3 linked regions of the Oryctolagus cuniculus genome follow. Each later gene encodes a partner of the first gene's protein in a complex. Links are inferred from orthologs where the notes say so. Each region holds a gene or a part of one and is shown in the gene's direction. Other genes may lie near its edges. The genes, in order: CLOCK, BMAL1 and CIPC.

Region 1 (3,599 bases):
CCAGTGGACCTTAAGGATAAGAACCAATAATGCATTCATCCTTTGATTCCACAGCTGTGGCACTGTAGGCAACCCAAGGCTTGTGAGATTACTTACTGTTGATGAAAGGAACATACAAGAGTCAGCAAGTCACTGGGCTTAACATGTCAGTTGCCCTCTTGGGGGTGGGGGTGGGTAGCATAAAAGCAAGGCTTCTGACAGTGGAATGCAAGATAGATGCCAGGAAAATATGAAATAAAAAGAAAGCACCTATTGGACAACCGAAGTGATACCACATTTATTTAGCATGAGACCAGACTTTGTGTATGCGTGCCGCTGCTGGCGACGGTCGTAAAGCTATGACTTGTGGTCCAAGAATTTTCTGATTAAATTTTAGTCATGTTGTAGTTTAATGTGTTCGAAGTTCGTGGAGCTTAGCTTTGCAAGTCATGTGTCTGGCTTGGAAGGTCACAGTGATCGTGAACCTGATGACATCGCCATCAGAGCCATGAGTGCACTGTTACGCCCTAACTTCTCAGCCTTGTTTCTGTGGGATCTGATCTGTAACTTGACATTTGTTGGTTATCTTACATAAATGAAAATTAACCCTGTACCCTGTTGTTTAATAGTGATGATACACTTTTAAGATAAATATCTTAGGAATCACAGATTTATTTTGTGTTTAAAATTGTTTTTCAGTCTGATCTTGTGGATCAAAGTATATTTAATTTTATCCCAGAGGGGGAACATTCAGAGGTTTATAAAATACTCTCTACCCATCTGCTGGAAAGTGACTCGTTAACCCCTGAGTACTTAAAATGTAAGTAGTAGCTGTTAAACAGTAGTCAGATATTCTGCTTGGTAGCATAATCCTTTCGTTTTCAAGTCTGTGGAGTTCAAGATCAAAGTGGGGGTGGTAAAAAGTCTTAATTGACTTGCTTATCTGCTAGGTAAACAATCAATAAGCAAAAAAATGTTCTTTCAGGAAGAAAAAAAGATGTTTTATGCCAAAGATAATAAATGAGTTAAAACAGAAAACTGCTTTAGAAATCTAGTAGGTCATTTTGGCCATAGTGAAGGTGAGGTGGTATAGGAGTGTGATTTGTGTCTAGGGAAGGAAACAGGCAGAATTAGAAAGGCAGATCACTCAGGTAAGAAATTTGCAATAGGACTAAATTGGGAACAGAAAGGAAAACTGTATAATGTTAGCCATGGAAGGGGAGGCAAGTGTGTGAGTGTTAAGGAAGTAAACTCAGTAGGACTTGATGTCAGGCACAGGCAACCAAGTGACTGAGGATCATTGATGGGAAAGGGTCTGGGGCAGAAGCAGATTTTGAACCTCTGGAGTTAGATAGAACCATCTGTAGTGATAATGGCAGAGGAGTGTGAGCTTGGTGTAAGTGAAGAGAAGGGTTGCTAGTCCTTGAGTGCTGAAATAACCTGACACGGTGGGATTCGACTTACAAGTGGTTGGCAAGGATGCGTCAGCGTGGCCAGAATATGGAGGCATAATGAGAACACGGGGCAGTTACCTGGGTGCAGGGTAGTGTGTGCAGCATTGAGCTGGTGGCAGTGAGGGCTTGGGAGAGCTTCCTTGTGAAATAAATAGCAGATCCTGGACACATTATATTTGAGACTTGTGATGGGAAGAAAAGCCACCAAACTTACTTAGTTTCCAACTTGGGGAATAAGTGCACGTGGAACAGCTGGCTTGGGAAGAAAGATTCAGGTATTTTGAGTTTAAGCTCCTATGGGGACAGGTGAGTGAAAAAGCTGTGACAGTAAATCGTGGTGTGAGAGTGTGTCCTGCTTGAGATAGCGGAATTGGGAGGAGAGGTGTCGTAGTCAGCTTGCAAAGAAAGCAGATCAGGCGCAGAAGAGCGCTGTCCGCAGGCAGGGAGAGACCTCCGCCGTGGTGAAAGAGGCAGAAGCAGTGAGGAGAAGCTGTTGAAGGTGATAGGACACGTGTTAGGTACCGAAGGAGTTGCCGCAGAGGGGTCTGCGGGGCAGCCCCCGGTGTGAGCCGAGGAGAACTGAACGTGCGGACACTGGAGCCCATAACGTGAAGCCAAGTGTCTGGGACCAGAAAGCTCACCATGAGCAACCCGTTGTTGGAGGTGGAAACTGAGCAAATTTAAGACTAGAAAGGACCCACAGGGGAGAATGTGCAGGTGCTGAAGAAATGCACGGCCTCATCGTGGCCCTGGTCCTAGGAAAGGCAGGAAAGATGGCAAGGTGTAGAAGGAAACAGAGCTGGAGTGAGGAGGAGGAGGGACAGGTGCAAATGGGGGCACGACGTTGCTTGTGCAGGTGAGGTCACCTCCTACCTACTAAAATGTCATTGAAAACTCTGTTAAGGGAGATAATGACTATAAAGTTTGCTTTTAGTCTTATTTTGTGTGATATTTGTTCATTGTCCAGATCACAGAACGACTTTTCAAAATCTCTCATTTCAGCAAAAAATCAGTTAGAATTCTGTTGTCATATGCTTCGAGGAACAATAGACCCAAAGGAACCATCTACCTATGAGTATGTGAGATTCATAGGAAATTTCAAATCTTTAAATAGCGGTGAGTTAAAATGCCTCTCTTTCCAGTGTGTTTTAACTTGATATTATTTTTCTAGCTCTTAAAGACTTAGATGTTTGGATATCAGTAACAGCTTTTGTTGGAGTAACTGATCATAGCATTTCTTCACTGTTTAGTATCCACTTCAGCACACAATGGCTTTGAAGGAACTATACAGCGCACACACAGGCCTTCCTATGAGGATAGGATTTGTTTTGTAGCTACTGTGAGATTGGCTACGCCGCAGTTCATCAAGGTATGTTTCTAGTTTCATTTCCCAGGGAGAATTTCAGTCCACATTATGTAATTTTTTGTTTTCTTTACAGTGGCTGAAACCTCATATAAACATTGAAGACTGTGAGACATTGAACATGCATGATCATGATTTTTTTGAAACATAAGTTATCAAGGCGCTCATTAAATTATATAGCTAATTTCTTAGTGTAAGTTCTTTGCAGTTCACCAGTGGTTGTATGTCACTGTTGACCTACTTTTGTGCAAAATTTTCTTAGGTTTTTGTGACTAATTCACTGTCTTCATTAAAGGAGAAATCCAAAATAACCTTGGTAATTTTTTTAAAGATTTATTTATTTATTTGAAAGAGTTACAAAGAGGCAGAGAGAGAAAGAGGTCTTCCATCTGCTGGTTCACTCCCAAACAGCCACGATGGCTGGAGCTGAGCTGATCTGAAGCCAGGAGCCAGGAGCTTCTTCCAGGTCTCCCATGCAGGTGCAGGGTCCCAAGGACCTGAGCCATCTTCCACTGCTTTTCCAGGCCATAGCACAGAGTTGGATCATAAGTGGAGCAGCCAGGTTTCGAAGTGGCACCCATATGGGATGGCGGCACTGTGGATGGCAGCTTTACCCACTATGCCATAGCACTGGCCTCCCCTGATAATTTTTTAAATACTGGTTTTCAGATTTGTTTTTGGGAATGTGTAAGCAGCTTTTTACTGCACATAATTTACCTTTTCAGTTCTAGAATTTAACTGAATCATTTAGTAGGGAAGTGGGAAAGTGAACTAGTTCAACCCTAGAAAGTGGCTGGGAAGAA
Region 2 (3,599 bases), on another chromosome or scaffold:
GGACCTAAGGGCTGGCCAAAGAAACTCTGCCCCGGGGAAACCAAGACACCTGCGTGGGGACGGCTGTCCTAGAATGCGGCCGTGTGAGCCATGCTCTAGGAGCAGTTTGTGCCCATGAGGTTTCGTTGTTTGAAGGGCCCCGATCCCTCCTTGGCTATGGAGAAAGGAGAGAAATCCAGGTGGCAGTCAGTAGCCTCCTCATAACAGGCCAGGAGAAGCGGCAGGGCTGAGCTGGGGGGATTTGGAAGTCCTGCCTCTGGGAATGTTGGTCAGCTTCCTGCTGAGCCACAGGGCGTCAAAAGCTTGTGTTTCTGGGGCCTGTGAAAGGCAGGCAGATCTTGCCGTGACCTCAGGACCCTGTGCAGCCCCCAGCCCCACTCCTCCTCTCCATCCCGATTCCCAAAGCCTAGGATTCCTACCCAGCTGAGAGGCAGACGTTTGGGAGCAGGGCCTTTGAAACACTGCCTGGGGCTCTGTTCAGTCCTTCTCTGTTAGTACTTTCATTCCCCTCCTCACTTCACCCCTCCCCTCCAAGTAGATACCTATGCACATGTGTCTTTGACGCTTGACATGTTTTGCAAATAGAATCAGCTCCATTTATCCAGAATGCTGGAGGAATGAAATGTTGTAGATATTTGAAGAGTTTCTGTAAACACTATATATTCTCAGTTTTCAAACAGGATAAGGTAAAATTTATGTTAACACCCAAACTCTATAGAGACTATATATAATTTTATTTCATAATCTGGAAAACCATTTCAGGTACTACAGTAAGTTCAAGTTCATTGTTCTGTCTGGTTTGCTATTATCCATCATTAATCAATACTTAGGTTACTTGAGCTTTCTGGCATTTGGTTTCTGGATAAATGAGAGCTTTCTGTATGACAGTGAACTATTCTGTATGTGTTCATTGACACACAGTCACGTTCTGTCTTGTTTTTCCAGAGAAAGCATGGACACAGACAAAGATGACCCTCATGGAAGGTACCACAAATTTGGTCATTTGAACTTCTATATCCCTGTAGCTGTTTTCTTGCATGGTTACAAACTATATAACATGGAGCTGGTTCCTCCCATGTCCTTGGTTAGAGAGAGCCTGTAGGTTCAAGGCTGTCTCCCAGCATGCCCCCTCCCCAATGTGAGTAACAAGTGAGAGCCCCCGTGTGCCTGTAGAGAGAGGACAGGGGCCAGGCAGGAGGAAACAGAAGTGCATGGCGGCCATCCCCCGCCCCCTCTTCTCCCGCCAGGGGATTGCATTTTGATCGTTTGCATTCTCCCCTCCAGGTTAGAATACGCTGAGCACCAAGGCAGGATCAAAAACGCGAGGTGAGTTTGGACTGCATTTCTTCTACCATCTGTCCGGGTTCTGGCTGCGGTGCACCGAGTGCTTGGTCCCTGGCATGTCTGTATGTCCTTAGGGAACAGGGGAGTGGGGAGTGGGTCTCCACACGCCATCACCTTCTGCCCTCTGCTTTCTGCCTTTTCTGACTAAGCACATTCAACCTAAAGGGGACTTTGGAGGTGGCAGGAAGTCACTCAAGGCTGAAGTCTCCCTCCAAGTCTTTAGCAGATTGCTCCTCCCTGACTTGAGGGCCCCCGGAGGAGGTACAGGGTGAGGATTCCACTTCTAGGCTGCGCCTTGCCTTCTGCAAGGGCCCTTGCTGCACTTGTGGTCCTCTTCCGGTGGAGTCCCAGTGCCCACCTGAGGCTGTGTCGTGACACACACAGCCAGGGGCTGCACAAGTTGGCTGGCCTAGTATCTCTAGCGGTTGGTTCCGTGGGTGTGTAGCTGCCCCTCAGAACCCCTCAGAGGAAGCCCGGAGACCCAGATGCAGTGTCTGAATGCTGAACCATGAATGGAGGCACTAGTGCCCAGGGACCTGTCCGGCTCTGAAGGAAGTGATGTCACCCACAGGCCACACTGCCCACTCCTCCTGGACCTCAGATACAGCCCACCAGGGACTAGGCCCTTGCTGTGGCTGTTCTGGGAAACCTCCACCTCCCTTCTCTCTCTTTCCATTCCCATCTCCAAATCCTGTTTACAGGGGCTGGGAGGGGAAGCAATGAGGAGAAACTAATTGAGTTTGCTCAAAAGGACAGTTTATGTAATTCTCTTCCGTGATCCTAAGGATGAGCTAAGCACAAGAAAACTGGTACCGACCTGGCAGGGGGACCGTTCTAGGGGCTGACTTGAGTAGAAAAACCTGATTGGAAACATTGTGCAAAGTCTGAATTGGCCTTATCAAATGAATATTGAAAAGTTACAGTTCATTTATTTTTGTCTTCTTGTTGCCGCTGGGTTCTGTTTCCTGAAAAATCGCTGTCCGCATTGGTGTGTTCAGAGAGGCTCACAGTCAGATTGAAAAGCGGCGCCGGGATAAGATGAACAGTTTCATTGACGAGCTGGCTTCTCTGGTTCCCACGTGCAACGCCATGTCTAGGAAGCTGGATAAACTGACTGTGCTGAGGATGGCCGTTCAGCACATGAAGACGCTACGAGGTGAGACCCTGGGCTTGCTTCACTGTCCTTCTGTCCTTGTTCACAGATGTTACCCACCTCGTCTAGAATGTTCCTCAGTGCCTAGGTGCATATTGATTACATCAAAATCTGTAGCCATGAGGTAGTTACTGAGCCCGCGTGGGTCTCGAGATGCAGTTTTGCAGGTCGTGAATCTCTGGAGTGTCTAAGGCATGTGTCGTGCGTGTCTCCAGGTGTGCCTGCCACTGGGCCACGTGCCTATCGGGACCCTGCGGAGGTCCCATCTTGTGTAGATGTGAGTGCCCCTGGATTCCACCTCAGCGGTGGTATAAATCAGAAACGTAGGTGCACACAGTGACACACAAGAGGCGCTTTCCGTTTTTCAGAGAATAATTTGTTCCGGTTCCTTTGTGGAGTGAGCCACTGATGGCGCCTGCTGCGTTTGGTTGTCAGGGCGGAGCACTGCTGGTGTTCTCATCTTCCTGGAATTTTCCCCGACCAGGCTCACTCTGTGAGGGAGGCAGTAGCTTCCTTCTTTGCTGAGTGTGGGGAGGGTGAGAAAACAGAGGCAGGAAAGTGGAAGTGACTTTTCCAGATCGCAAGAGAAATCTGAAATGTATCGGGCATTTCAGTGACTGCTGTTCTGGAATTTTCCATAGCTAGTCTTGGACGATTGGAGGAAACTGGGAAGTGGACGCTCATTCTGACCTCTGACCTGTGTCATAAAAGAATTTGTCTTTAAACTTGCACAAGGCCAGTGGAAATAAAAAGCTGATTTTGTCTGACTTCTGATCATTATTCAAAACTGTAAATGCTGTATCCTGTGCTCAGAGAATGGCATTTAAAAGTTTATGTCAGCAAAGGCAATGAGTTAAATTATTTATTAGAAACTAATTTCTATTAAAATGAAAGAGGAAAGTGGCAAATCTCAAGCTATACTCAGAAGCAGAGCTATGGATCAGGAGTAGAGGCCCTGAGTTAGTCTGTATGAAAGTCACAAACACATGGAGTTGATCACCTTCCCACCTACTCTGAATTGTTATGCGTCCATTTCATCCTAGTCCTTCTCTATTCCACCCGCTCTCTGCAAGGCCAGGTCTTTGGCTGCTGGCATTTTGCC
Region 3 (4,267 bases), on another chromosome or scaffold:
GGTGTGACGTCATCAGCTTGTAGTAAGAGAATGCACAGACAGCTGCCCAGCGACTAACGACAATAAACTTCACTCCCTCCAACCCCAGAGCAAAAGTCTCAAGGGCTGTAGGCTTTTTCTCCGTTTTTAGTTACTTTTTTTTTAATGTAAGCTGTCAATCATTTATTGGCGGAGCTTAAGCTAAGCAGACACCCTCATACTCAGGACTACAGTAGCATCGTCGGTGTCGGGGTCTTTCGTGACCAGGACCTAGTAGCGCTTAACAAAGCGTGGGTGACCACCACAGGACAACTTCCCAGCACCTGGGTCCGCACGTAGCCAACCTAACTTTCTGCCATGCTGGGAACGTGAGCTCTTGAGACGCGGCGGGTGCTACTGAGAAACGGAAATTCTGCATTTTCAGCCGTTTCAGGGCTCCCCGTGCTTAGTGACTACCGTATTTACTGGACGAGCGCGGCCGGCACCGCCTCGTCCCGTTCTCCCCGCACCTGCGAACGGCTTCTTCTCGGCTAAGCCACCCTCGCTGACACAACACACCCGAACTCCCGGCGGCCTCAAGCCCTCTTCGCTTTGGCCGTTACACGTGTGCTCGCACTAACACCGGGGGCTGGCCGGAGAAGCCGCATCCCTGGGAAGCCCGTCTCGGGCAGCCGCACCGGACAAAATGAATCAAATTGTTAGGGTCGAGAAACGTCCACCGCCCCAGGAACGACTCCAAGAGACACTCGCATGCAATCAGCAAGGGGTTTATTCCGACCAGCGTGCTGGGGCTCTCTGACCACGCAGGAACAGAGCAGCCCCGAGAAGGCAAGGGTCAGGGTTTTTATAGGGTTTTCAGAGACCTATTCCACCTCACACCGCGGGAAGCTCATTAGCAAATCAACTCACACCGCGGGAAACTCACAGCACGTGCGGGGAGTTCAAAGGACATCTAGAATTATTAACGGCTATTAACGGCGGGTGAGGCAAGGGTTACACAGCTTCGGCCCCTTATCCTCACACAGGTGCAGCTGTAAAGATAAGGAACCGAAATTATACAACCCCCGCCCCACAGGATTTCAGCTTTGGGGAAGGAGGTTTGGGCCTGCAATTTTCTAGCTCAATTTCTTCAAAATATCCAACGACACGATCACGCAGTGAGAAGCCCCTCGAGAGTAGGTCTCGCGAAGCATGGTCACAGGGGTGGACGGGAAGACAAAACAACCCCTCCGACAGGCCTGGCAAAAACGTGAGCCGCCCGCGGGGAGGTGGGGACCGCCCCGTCACCCCACCCGCCTGCTTACGCCGGGCGCGCCCTGTCCGGCCCCCAACAATAACAACGTCCTGGCTGCACATACTACAGGGGAATGAGCCCTTGGTTTCCCTCGGGAGTCAGGCATCCCGCCATAACCGGCCCAACCCCGGCTCCCCGGAATCCCGTACCACAACCACGCCAGAGCCGCGAACGGCTCCACGCCGCCGTACAAAATGGCGGTCGCGCCTCAGGAACCAACCATAGAGACGTCCGCCCGCCGCGGAGAGAGCGGCGACGTCCCCGCGCGCCTTCCGGCAGAGGCGGAAAGTGAGTTCGTCTCCAAGGGCTCTTCTAGGAAGGTGGCGCGCAGTCTCTATGGTGCCGGGTCCTCCGAGCCGAGTCACGTGGTGGGGAAAGGCGTCGCGGAGGCGCGGGGAGGAGAAATGGGCGGGAGGCCGGGGGGATAGCAGGAGACCCGGCGACGACGGGGTTGTCATGGAGCCTTGGGGCTGGATTCGCGCATGCGCCACCTCACGCGCTGGGCCGGTCGTGGAGCGACCCTGGCCCTAGGTGAGAAAGGGAGGGCTGGGCCCGCGGGAGGAAGGCGGGGATGGCGCGGCGGGGGAGGGTTTGGGCGAGGAGAGCGGGGAGAGAAGGTGGCGGTAGAGGACAGAGGAAGGGGCGCGAGGTAGGCGCGAGGGCGAGCCGGCACTTCGGGGGTCGGAGGGTGCGCCCCCGCCCACGTAGTTGGTTTCGCTGCGAGGGGCGGGGCCTGCGAGGAGGGAGCCGTGTGCGGGGAGGGGGCTTGTGTGCGGGCCCAGGGGTAGCCCTAGGCGTCCGGAGCCCGGAGGCCTGTCGGGCTCTGAGCCGCGGGCCAGGGATGGACTGGGGAGTGGGTGGCAGAGCTGCAGCCTGGGGAGGGGGCTGGGCCTCCAGTGTGGAGCTGGGGGCAGTGCCCGTTCGGGTTCCAGGGCGCCGCCGGTGTTCTGTCTGTCTCGCAAGGACCGGCTGCCTCCCACTGTGCTGGTTACTTCTCGGGGTGGCTGGCTAGCTTGCCAGTCGTGGTGCCAGGAGTAGGGGCGTGGGGGAGGTGGGCAGTGCGGAGGAAGGAGTTGGTGGTGGGCTGGAGGGGACCCAGGTCCCGGCTGTTGCCGGGGCGTTTGCCGTGGGAGGCTGGTGTGCCAGTCGCAGCACAGTCGCAGGGTCTGCCCAGTTCTGCCCTGCGGAGCTGGCAGGCTCGTGGATGCCCGGAGGGTGCACATGCCGCCTGGCACAGCCGCAGCGTGGGCCGCTGCGAGGGGAGAGGCGGCGAACCGCCCGGCGCGGGGTTGGAGCGGTCTCCCCTTGGACAGGTGGGCGTGGAGAGCAGTTGTCTGGGCTCGGGGCTCAGGGTCCCTGAGCTTCCAGCCCGGCTGGAGAGTTCAGTGAATGTGGTGGTGTAAGATTTAGGTAGATGGGGCTTTTCCACCAGTAAAACACGTTCTCTCCCAGAACGGGTGTCTCGGAGCACGCACGCGGAGAGAACTGGAACGTCCTTAGAATACTAAGCCGTTTTCTGGGTGGCAGCCTTGTTGAAGGTGGCTTTGTCACTTTATTGTGTTTAAGCTTGGGCTCTCACCCCACACTTGTGTCCATGCACGCATGTTATACACGTGACGCGTCTTAAAGGGAGCTCGCACTCCGAGGAGCCCTGCCAAGAGTCTATAAAAGGAGAGATCTGAAAGCCGCATTTCGGGCCCTTTCCTTGTAACCTCGGGTCTCCCTCTCGTCCTGAGCTCACGTCTCCTCGGAGATGAGGAATGTAGATCGGAGGCTTTGTTGCCGAGGTCTCACTTAGGAGGAAGGGGAGGTGAGATTATGTTTCCTGCGGAGGACAGGACCTGGAAGTTGGGTGTGGAAGTGACCGTGGGGCTTGGACAGGCAGGATCTTGACCTTCGAGCCGTGTGAGCATTTCAGGGAGCCAGAGTTACTGTGCTGTTGGCTTCCTCGCACGTTCGTGCTGGGGGCTGAGCTCGCCACAGTGGAAGAACTCCGGAGGTTGGGGAGATAAACAGACCAGTGTAGGGAGTGCATGTGGCATGGACGCACGAGCCTGTGTGAAGTGTGTGTATTTAGGAACCTGTTCTGTGCCCTGCATCGCGCTCGTGGACTGTGGTGGCCGTGGTTTTGTTTGGGAACGTGTGTTACTTGTACACACACAGGAGCCCGGTTAGGGCTGGTGCTGACAGCGTGGGAGCGCCAGTCCTTGGGACACGGAGTCCCGTGCATGGGGCGTGGGATGTTTGGAAAGCCATGTGCGTGCCAGGAAGCAGAGGTGACACAGGGTGAGAGCTTAGGAACCAAGCCATCTCCAAGCACCTGACTTTGAAGTACTGCTGAAGAGGGAAGGCTTCGGGTGTTGCCATTTGCCCTGCCCGGGGATTGAGGGCACCGGCAGTGACCCCTGTGCCCAGGGCGTCACGTGCTGCCAGGTGTGCGTGGGTCCTTGTTCCTGGCTAATTGGCACCCTCAGCCCACTGGAAGTGCCGCTCCTGCCGCTCTGAGCCCACGGGAGCCGCCCTGGCTGGCACTGAGCACCTCTGCTGCTCGAAGAGTCGTCAAAACAGCGCTTTCCTATTTTCAACCATTTTCCCATCTGAAATCACCAGTTTAGCGCTCTGGAGGAGATTATACCTTGTTTGTTTCCAGCTGCCCAGGCTCTACAATTTTAGCATCTGTTCTCCACTTAAGCGGTTTGTCAGCATTTCAGAATTTTGATTTCACGATCAGAATTAACCTGCAGGTTCGCAGTGAGCCCCAATGAACTCCTGTGTCTTTTCTATAGCTCTGTAGGCTGCACTTCAGTAACAGTAGCGGGACGTTATTGACAGTGAGACTTACAGAAGACGCTTTATCTGAAACACCTGTAAGATAGCTCATGATTATAATGTGAAATTTTACCGGGTTCTTTTTTATTTTCTTTATTTGAGAGACAGAGAGGGGAGACAGAAAGAGAGACCTGCCATTTGCTGATTCCCTTCCCAAATGCCTGC

What was found.
Region 2: the proteins of CLOCK (region 1) and BMAL1 are in contact, whole or in part, in a crystal structure (PDB 4F3L), measured with the Mus musculus proteins. The link is inferred for Oryctolagus cuniculus from reciprocal best matches to the Homo sapiens genes CLOCK and BMAL1. Residues at the interface, in NP_001276755.1 of Mus musculus: Arg46, Gln49, Phe50, Leu53, Ile54, Glu56, Leu57, Met60, Leu61, Pro62, Lys70, Ser71, Leu74, Gln75, Ser77, Ile78, Phe80, Leu81, Arg82, His84, Lys85, Thr88, Glu95, Ile96, Gln98, Asp99, Trp100, Pro102, Phe104, Leu105; in XP_030097882.1 of Mus musculus: Lys70, Met71, Phe74, Ile75, Glu77, Leu78, Ser80, Leu81, Val82, Asp93, Leu95, Leu98, Arg99, Ala101, Val102, His104, Met105, Lys106, Leu108, Arg109, Gly110, Ala118, Tyr120, Lys121, Pro122, Phe124, Leu125, Asp127, Asp128, Glu129.
Region 3: the proteins of CLOCK (region 1) and CIPC are in contact, whole or in part, in a crystal structure (PDB 5VJI), measured with the Mus musculus proteins. The link is inferred for Oryctolagus cuniculus from reciprocal best matches to the Homo sapiens genes CLOCK and CIPC. Residues at the interface, in NP_001276755.1 of Mus musculus: Gln519, Leu526, Lys527, Leu530, Arg533, Ile537, Asn540, Ile541, Arg543, Gln544, Glu547, Leu548, Ile551, Gln554, Leu555, Val558; in XP_006515773.1 of Mus musculus: Asn401, Thr402, Val405, Leu406, Ser409, Leu411, Ile414, Thr415, Thr418, Leu421, Ile422, Asn425, Thr428, Gln429, Leu432, Leu435, Lys436, Thr439, Gln440, Phe442, Ile443, Thr446.

What each region holds. Positions count from the first base shown.
Region 1 is NC_091439.1:109,034,340-109,037,938, forward strand, and holds part of CLOCK (circadian locomoter output cycles protein kaput), read left to right. Parts: intron 1-678; coding exon 679-799; intron 800-2,435; coding exon 2,436-2,549; intron 2,550-2,683; coding exon 2,684-2,802; intron 2,803-3,599. UniProt on the Homo sapiens protein: Transcriptional activator which forms a core component of the circadian clock.
Region 2 is NC_091432.1:52,850,050-52,853,648, reverse strand, and holds part of BMAL1 (basic helix-loop-helix ARNT-like protein 1), read left to right. Parts: intron 1-945; coding exon 946-984; intron 985-1,284; coding exon 1,285-1,326; intron 1,327-2,342; coding exon 2,343-2,500; intron 2,501-3,599. UniProt on the Homo sapiens protein: Transcriptional activator which forms a core component of the circadian clock.
Region 3 is NC_091451.1:22,865,590-22,869,856, forward strand, and holds the start of CIPC (CLOCK-interacting pacemaker), read left to right. Parts: upstream 1-1,447; 5' UTR 1,448-1,561; intron 1,562-1,577; exon of another isoform or gene 1,578-1,804; intron 1,805-1,806; exon of another isoform or gene 1,807-1,922; intron 1,923-2,045; exon of another isoform or gene 2,046-2,586; intron 2,587-2,926; exon of another isoform or gene 2,927-3,083; intron 3,084-4,267.